Linked DNA regions of Struthio camelus. The protein of the gene in region 1 purifies or fractionates together with the protein of each later gene. This does not show direct contact. Links are inferred from orthologs where the notes say so. Each region holds a gene or a part of one and is shown on either strand. Other genes may lie near its edges.

What was found.
Region 2: the proteins of CDC25A (region 1) and CUL1 purify together in Homo sapiens (affinity purification with western blotting; 6 studies listed by BioGRID, with this or other methods). This does not show direct contact. The link is inferred for Struthio camelus from reciprocal best matches to the Homo sapiens genes CDC25A and CUL1.

What each region holds. Positions count from the first base shown.
Region 1 is NC_090943.1:996,580-1,000,479, reverse strand, and holds the start of CDC25A (M-phase inducer phosphatase 1), read right to left. Parts: upstream 3,022-3,900; 5' UTR 2,900-3,021; coding exon 2,748-2,899; intron 1-2,747. UniProt on the Homo sapiens protein: Tyrosine protein phosphatase which functions as a dosage-dependent inducer of mitotic progression. Directly dephosphorylates CDK1 and stimulates its kinase activity. Also dephosphorylates CDK2 in complex with cyclin-E, in vitro.
Region 2 is NC_090943.1:62,580,312-62,584,211, reverse strand, and holds the start of CUL1 (cullin-1), read right to left. Parts: upstream 2,840-3,900; 5' UTR 2,716-2,839; intron 147-2,715; exon of another isoform or gene 29-146; intron 1-28. UniProt on the Homo sapiens protein: Core component of multiple cullin-RING-based SCF (SKP1-CUL1-F-box protein) E3 ubiquitin-protein ligase complexes, which mediate the ubiquitination of proteins involved in cell cycle progression, signal transduction and transcription.

The DNA.
Region 1 (3,900 bases):
TAAAGAAAGACAGAATTTTTTTGTTGTTTTAAGCGTTCAGCAAAGTGAGAAATACAACATAACAGTGCATGAATGTGGTAACGCAACGCAAGTATAACACTTCTTGGCTAAGTGAAAGGATTCCAGCTTGGTAACCCTGCAGACTGAAGCCTTTTGTGTGCTAAACAGCAGATACATCACACACCCCACCACACTTCCAACTATGCTCACATCTATTGTCTGCAGGAACTTGGTTTTTTAATTCTAAAATGCAGTATTGATAACACTAGAAATTAGACCACCAAAATTAAGAGTCAGACTGACAGAGGGATAGAAACAGCCCGTTAAGACTTTCCTGGAAGCCCTTCTGGCCCCCTCGCGCCAGATTGCCAAGCTTTTCTGCATAACATTAACTGTGAAGTGTTCCCCACCCCACTTTTTTTTTTTTTTTTTTAAGTGATGCTTTATCCTGATCTTGTGCCATCACAAATGAAGGTTTTAACACAACAAAGCGACAGGCCTTGTGATAAGACCTCAGGACTAAAATCACTGCAACTGTGCAATAGGATACTGTTGCCTTGAATCATATCGACACCTCCCAGATTGTTCCCTAGAAACCCCTGTATCAGGGCGCCATTGTCTTCCTTGGGGCTGTAACCTTCCTTCGCAGCCCTGCTCAGTTAACTACACTTTGAGGGGGGGGGGGCCAACTGTCCAACTCCAACAGTCTCCCCTTCTAAGTAGGTAGGTCTCCAGCTTTGACTTCCCAAGGTTCACTTTTCCCCGCGCACGTAACCATCGGCGCGATCTACGTCACTCTGCAGATGAAGGGGCGCGCGGCGTTCAGAGCCCGACTCACAGCACGCGTCCGAGGACCAGCCGCCCCGCGAGAAGGCGGAGAGGCTCCAGGCAGGCTGCCGTGCCGGCCCGCCGGGGCGCGTCACACGCGCCCCGGCTTTGTACGGGGCTGCAGGCGCAACCCCTTCAACACGGGGCACAGGCGCACGTCCCGCAGGGCCTTCCTCTGGTACGTTAGGGAAGGGAAAGGCTACACGAGCGCGGCTCGTACATCAAATAGGTCAATTCAGAAGACGTGCCAGCCTACAAACTCTAAGGATAAAACAGCGAGCGTGCAGGAGCGCGCTGCGAATTGTTTGCAGGAATTCCAGGAATCCGAAGGAGGGAAGGGCCACGAAGCGAGTGATTACAGAGAGGAGAATGCTATAAAAACAGGAGGTAAAGGACAAACACGAGGAGGGCTGTCAGGACCGGACAGTAGGCCAGGGCAAGACAGGAGCCCTGTAAGGGAAACTGCAGAGGTTGCTGTAGGAACAAGGAGAGACGTTAGAGCCTGGAAACAGCAGAACCGGACAGGGCACCGGGGCAGCGGGCGCTGGGAGGGGAGCGGAGCAGGGAGAGCAGGCCGGCAGAGCCGCGAGGCCTGCGGCCAGGCGGGGGGCGAGGGGCGGCCGCAGGGTCGCGGGAGGCAGGCAGCGGCGGGAGCGAGAGGAGAGCTGCCCGCCGGGAGGGAGAGGCAGGCGCTGCGGGGTGGGGGCAGAGGCGGCAGCCCGGGGCCGCGCAGGGCAGACGCACGGTGTGACCCCGGGCCGCCGGGAAGCACGTGGGCAGGGACGGGGCGCTGCCGCGGGCTGGGGCGGAAAGGGGGGACGCGGCGGGGGAGGAGAGCTGCGCGGCAGGAACCCCAGCGGGAAACGGGACAGGGAGGGAAGGGGGAAGAGGGGCCCTCGAGGCCTCCCACCGTTTGGGGGGGGGCGGGGAGGCAGAAAGGGGCCTTCGAGGCCTCCCTCCTTTTGGGGGGGGGGAGGCAGAAAGGGGCCCTCGAGGCCTCCCTCCGTTTGGGGGGGGGGAGGCAGAAAGGGGCCCTCGAGGCCTCCCTCCTTTTTTTGGGGGGGGGGGGGGAAGGCAGAAAGGGGCCCTCGAGGCCTCCCTCCTTTTGGGGGGGGGGAGGCAGAAAGGGGCCTTCGAGGCCTCCCTCCTTTTGGGGGGGGGGAGGCAGAAAGGGGCCCTCGAGGCCTCCCTCCGTTTGGGGGGGGGGAGGCAGAAAGGGGCCCTCGAGGCCTCCCTCCTTTTTTTGGGGGGGGGGGGAAGGCAGAAAGGGGCCCTCGAGGCCTCCCTCCTTTTGGGGGGGGGGAAGGCAGAAAGGGGCCCTCGAGGCCTCCCTCCTTTTGGGGGGGGGGAGGCAGAAAGGGGCCCTCGAGGCCTCCCTCCTTTTGGGGGGGGGGGAGGCAGAAAGGGGCCCTCGAGGCCTCCCTCCTTTTGGGGGGGGGGGAGGCAGAAAGGGGCCCTCGAGGCCTCCCTCCTTTTGGGGGGGGGAGGCAGAAAGGGGCCCTCGAGGCCTCCCTCCTTTTGGGGGGGGGGGAGGCAGAAAGGGGCCCTCGAGGCCTCCCTCCTTTTGGGGGGGGGGGGAGGCAGAAAGGGGCCCTCGAGGCCTCCCTCCTTTTGGGGGGGGGGAGGCAGAAAGGGGCCCTCGAGGCCTCCCTCCTTTTTTTGGGGGGGGGGGGGGAAGGCAGAAAGGGGCCTTCGAGGCCTCCCTCCTTTTGGGGGGGGGAGGCAGAAAGGGGCCCTCGAGGCCTCCCTCCTTTTGGGGGGGGGGAGGCAGAAAGGGGCCCTCGAGGCCTCCCTCCTTTTTGGGGGGGGAGGCAGAAAGGGGCCCTCGAGGCCTCCCTCCTTTTGGGGGGGGGGAGGCAGAAAGGGGCCCTCGAGGCCTCCCTCCTTTTGGGGGGGGGGGCGGTTGCGGCCGGACTGACCCGCGTCCCAGCTGCTCCATGGTGAGGCGGAGGTCGGAGACCGGCGAGAGCTCGGCGGGAAAGAGGGACTTGACGACGGCGGAGGCGGCGGGCGGCGCCGGGGAGAGCAGCAGGAGGCGGCGGCGGTGCGAGCCCCCCGGCGCACGGTGCATGGCGGCGAGCCGACTCCTTCCTCCTGTCAGCAACCTCCCCCCCCCGCCCCCCTAACAACCCGCGCCGCTTTGACCCCCGCCGCCACCCGTCGCCCGGCGCGCGCGCGCCGCCCGCCCGCTCCGCCCCCGCTCCGAAGCTGGCGCCAAACTCCCTCTCCGCCAATCAGAACCAGCGTCTCCTCAGGGCTTTGGTGGGTGGGTGGGGTTTTTTTTTTAGTTCTACCCCGCCCGCTCCTTCCTCCGACCAATCGAAACGCCGGGAATCGCCTTCCTTCCCCTCATGGGCTGCTTGACAGCGCTTGCGGCCAATAGGCTTTGCCAGAGAGGGCGGCCAATGGGGTGCCTCGAGGAATAGGTGGGGGGGGCTTGCTTTGTGGCCGGCGGAGAGGACTACATTTCCCAGCATGCAACGCCGAGGCGGGCAACGCGTGGAACGCGTTGCCCGCCTCGGCGTTGCATGCTGGGAAATGTAGTCCCCAGCCTCCCTGAGGCGCCTCCAGTCAAGCCGCCCTCATGGGGGCCTGTTACTCACACTACTCCCCTCACTCTTGTCGCAGCCCTAAAAAAGGCCGGGTGCCTTTTTTTTTTTCCCCCCGTTTTTTTTTTCCCGGCGACAAGGGTTGTTTTAAGGCCCGTAAACCTTCTCACCCCGTCCTGTTTGGGGTGAAACGCCCTCCCGCCACAGGGTGCAGCATCCCCCGGGGAAGCGACACCCGCCCGGTGCCTAAAAATATAAAGTCACGGCGTATAACCACGAGTGGGAAACGGCCATTCCAGGCTGGAAACTTCAAAGGTTTAAAACAAAGAAAGAAAACAAAAAACGAAAAGCGGCCGCACGGCCTTGAGGGACCAGAAGGCTGTGCTGCCATTCAGAGGGACCTGGACAGGTTGGAGAGTTGGGCGGAGGGGGACCTCATGAAGTTCAACCAAGGCAAGTGCAAGGTCCTGCACCTAGGCAGGAATAACCCCATGCACCAGGACAGGCTGGGGGTTGACCTGCT
Region 2 (3,900 bases), about 62 Mb from region 1:
GTGCAGTACACATAACTTAGGTACCTACCTGTTACATACAGGCAACCTTTTACTAGGACAATCTGCTCACGTCACATTCACAGCGCAAATTTTTTGACGTTGACAGTGGTATAACTACAAGTACTTCTTTAAACCTGTTTCATCCACTGGGAAAAATAAATACATAAAAACAGTTTCAATGCCAGAAGAGAAGACTCCAGGTACACTCAATTCACCTCACCGCTAACACCCAGGATGTGACTCATCATTAAGCTGGGTCTCACTGAAGTGAGAAGTTAGTTTTGTGCAACTATGTAAAAGGAGACACCACCTGAGAAACATAACTGATGAAAAGCAGTATTCAGAGATCTTGACATCTAAATTACAAAAAGAAAAAAAAAAACCTTTTCTTAATATCTGATATAATATCTGATATAACAACTTTCTCCGAGGATCCAATGTTATATCCATAACAATATGGCTAGGATGTAAGACTTTAAGCTAATAATGAGAATAAGCTGAAATCACAAAAGCCATCCTCACATCAGTTTCCAAATAAGGGTATGAATCATTTGAGCTTAAATTTAAATGATATAAATTAGTGATTCAATTTTCTCATGCTGACAGACTAAGTAACAGGCTCAAGCTATAAGGCAAGTGTAAACCAGTGTAGAAAGGATAAAAGTAGAAGTAGAATCATTTAGTTTAATCAGCACAACTGCTTTGTCAACATTGTATTGGCACATGTGTCTTATTTAGGTGCCTAAACCAAGAAACTGTTCCTCCATACGACCCCTTGATAGGCGATGGAAAAAGATTCCTCTAGGGGAGTAATTCAGACTAGAAGTCTAATTCAGTTACTCTAAGCTGTCTTCCAGTTACTTTCTCAATGAGGAAGAAACAGATCCTACTGTGAATAAGCTGTTAATGTTAGATACTCATTCTGGATTCTAAGTTAGGTGTATAAATTACTTCCAAAATTTGAAACTAGTCCTGACACCTCCATGGCACAACTACGTCCAAGGTTTAAATGGGACCTCAAATACGTCGTGGTGATGCGATTATAAAATGCAACCAATGTTAAGAACTAAAGCAATTCAGAAAGATGTAAAATAAGAAGTTGGGTAACCTACTACTGAGAAACAAAAGAAATCACAAAGCAGAAAGAAAAGACTACTTTCCAGTAGAGTCACTAGCAGAGACACAAGTGCCAGTGCAACACAGACTCCCAGCCACCAATACTCAACACTGCAGCAGTTCGCTGTGATCATTTCCTGAGGAAAAAATATGCATCTAGTGAGTAGCAGGGAGGCCCAGTGAGGCCTCTTAGGACTTCCCCAAAGAGAAACCATCCCAAACATACCGTACCTCAACTGAAGTACCAATTCACAATACAGCATTAAGAAACAATGCTTGGCACTAATTTAAGTTATACAGCCGCTGGAAGTTTCTTGCCCCCACAGACCACTCCCCCAGGTCCTACCAAAAGGTCTTCCAAGAGAGCTGTTTTTCTAAACTAACACTAGGGGGTGTGTGTGTCGGTGGAGAAAGGGGGGAAGAGAATGTGAATATACACAAACACATGTATTGGGGCAAAGACTGCTGAGGAAATCAGTAAGAAACAAATAAAATAAGGTAAAACAGGTTTAAAAATGTTTGTTTCGTGTTCTCCTAGTACTGGCTGACAAATACAATCTAGGCTGAAGTTCCTCCTCTCCTCAAAAGCACAGCTGGAGGATTTAAATACAAAGTGGGGGGAGACAGCATGGGAGTCGATGGAGAAAAGGAACATGTCAAAAGGAAAGGGTATTAGGTGAGATCACGAGGAAGGATTTAACAACAGGAAAATAAGATCAGAAGGGCAAAGAATCGCGGTGAAGGAAACAGCTACCGGGGAGGAAGAAAGCTGGAAGGGGGAAAAGGTAATCAGGGAATAACGATGATGAAAGAACACAACTCGAAGGGGAAACAAGAAGGATGGGAAGAGATGCCAGGAGAGACGCAGCCAGCTTCCAGTGCCGGACCAAGTTCCTGGGAGGCTGACCAGCTGCCTGTTAGCCACGACCAAAACCTGCAGGACCGCTCACCTGGACGGGGGCGACAGAGAAAAGGCTACTGGGGGGGGGGGGGTGGCAACAGCAAGGGGGCAACCAGGGCAAGCCCGGAGCACGACCCCAGCCGGGGGGGGGACGCGCGGGACGCGGCGCCGAGGAGCCACGGCGGCACCAGGGACACGCGGGGGTTTGTCCGGCCGCAGCGGCGCCTCGCCGGGGCTGCGGGGACACGCTGGGCCGGCAGCGGGGGGGGACATGGGGGGAAGCTCCCTGCAGCCGGGCCGAGGGCAAGGAGGCGGCAGAGGGCCGGAGCCGGGCAGCGAGGGGCCGAGGCGGGCTCCCGGCTCCGAGGGCGGCGAGGTATTTCCAGTGCGTAGCTAGAGGCCTCCGCGCCGCCGCCGGGCCCGCGCCGCCAGGGCCGCCATGGCGGCGCCCGCCGCCTCCCTGGCGCGGTGAAGAAAGGCAGGCGGGCGGGCAGGAGGGCGGGCAGGCCGGGCCGGGCCCGGCGCCCCTCGCCCCGCTGCCTCCCGCCGCGGCGTGACTCAGTGCTGGGCTCCGCTCCGCCGCCTCGGCCTGGGCCGCGGCCCTCCTGGCAGCTGCCGGGCCGGGCCGGGCCGGGCCCCACCACCACCACCGCCGCCGGGCTGGCTGCGACACAACGCCGCGGCCTCCCCGCACTCACCAGCATCGCGCGTCCCGCAGAGTCAGGCCGCGTCCGCCCGCCCCTTCCGCCGGGCCCGGATCTCCCTCTGCCGCCGCCGCCGCCGCCGCCGCCTCCCCCCAGCGCGGCCCCGAGCGCGCCCAGGCGCCGCCCCTCGCCGCGCCGCGCCGCCCCTCGCCCCGACCCCGGGCTCGGGCAGGCGGCCGCTGCCTCAGGGGAGAGGGCGGTTTGGGGAGAGGGCGGCCGGGGGGGGCGCAGCCGGCTGGGGTGCTGGCCCCGGGAGACCCCCTGGGCAGGCTTAAATTAAAGCAGCTCCGGTGGCGAGCTCCAGTGTGTGAAGGGAAAAGGTGAAACGCGGCAGCGCGTGTAGCATCGCCTTTGTGTAGGCGGCACGCGGGGGCGGCTGGTTTCTGCGTGTAACAGTGCGGAGCGGGTGGTGCGGCATCGTACCACAGTTAACACGGGCTTCGGGGAAAAGTAACGTTTTGGAGTCAGTCCTGTCGTCGTCTTTGTTCCGGGCAGCTGCGGAATTACGTTCGTGGAGCTGTGCTGCAAAAGAAAAGGATGGGGTTTAAGTTATCCTCACGTGGATGTTTGTGTTTTGCTTTGCCGAGGTTTTCTGTGCTGCACCATCACAAACCGTGCTGAGTGAGCTCCCCTGCAGAGAGGGGGTCGGGTTCTGGGTCTGAGTTGGGCCAAACGAAACTTGGAGCAATTCAGATGAGGTTTTTGTTGTTGTTTTTTTTTTTAACTCCTTTACGTTAGAATAAAGAACGTTGGAATTCATTCCAGAAAATGCGATAGTGCGATAGCTTCTAAGGAAAGAAAATGGGGAAACAATAGGGAGAAACAGAGAGACATTATCTTTGCTTTGCAAAGTGCTTCGCTTGCATCCTGGCTCCAGCAGCTGTGCGCCATTTTCAAAAACTGGCCTTTCTCAAAGTGGGTGGCCCTTAGTCACCTAAGTGCTTGTAAAATTATTTCCTTGTGTAATAACGCCTTACCTCAGCGCAACCCACTGAAGTGGGCGCTAGCAAACTCGTGGACACGGCTCTTCTGATGAAACAGTTCTGGCCTAACGCTCACCGCAGCGCTGTTTTAGGGGCTGGTTTAATAGCAGAGCACGGACGCCGTCAGCGGGATGGCATCGCAGCGCTCACGTTAGTTTGGCCCCTTGTAGACGTGCTTTGCAAATACCGCTCCTAG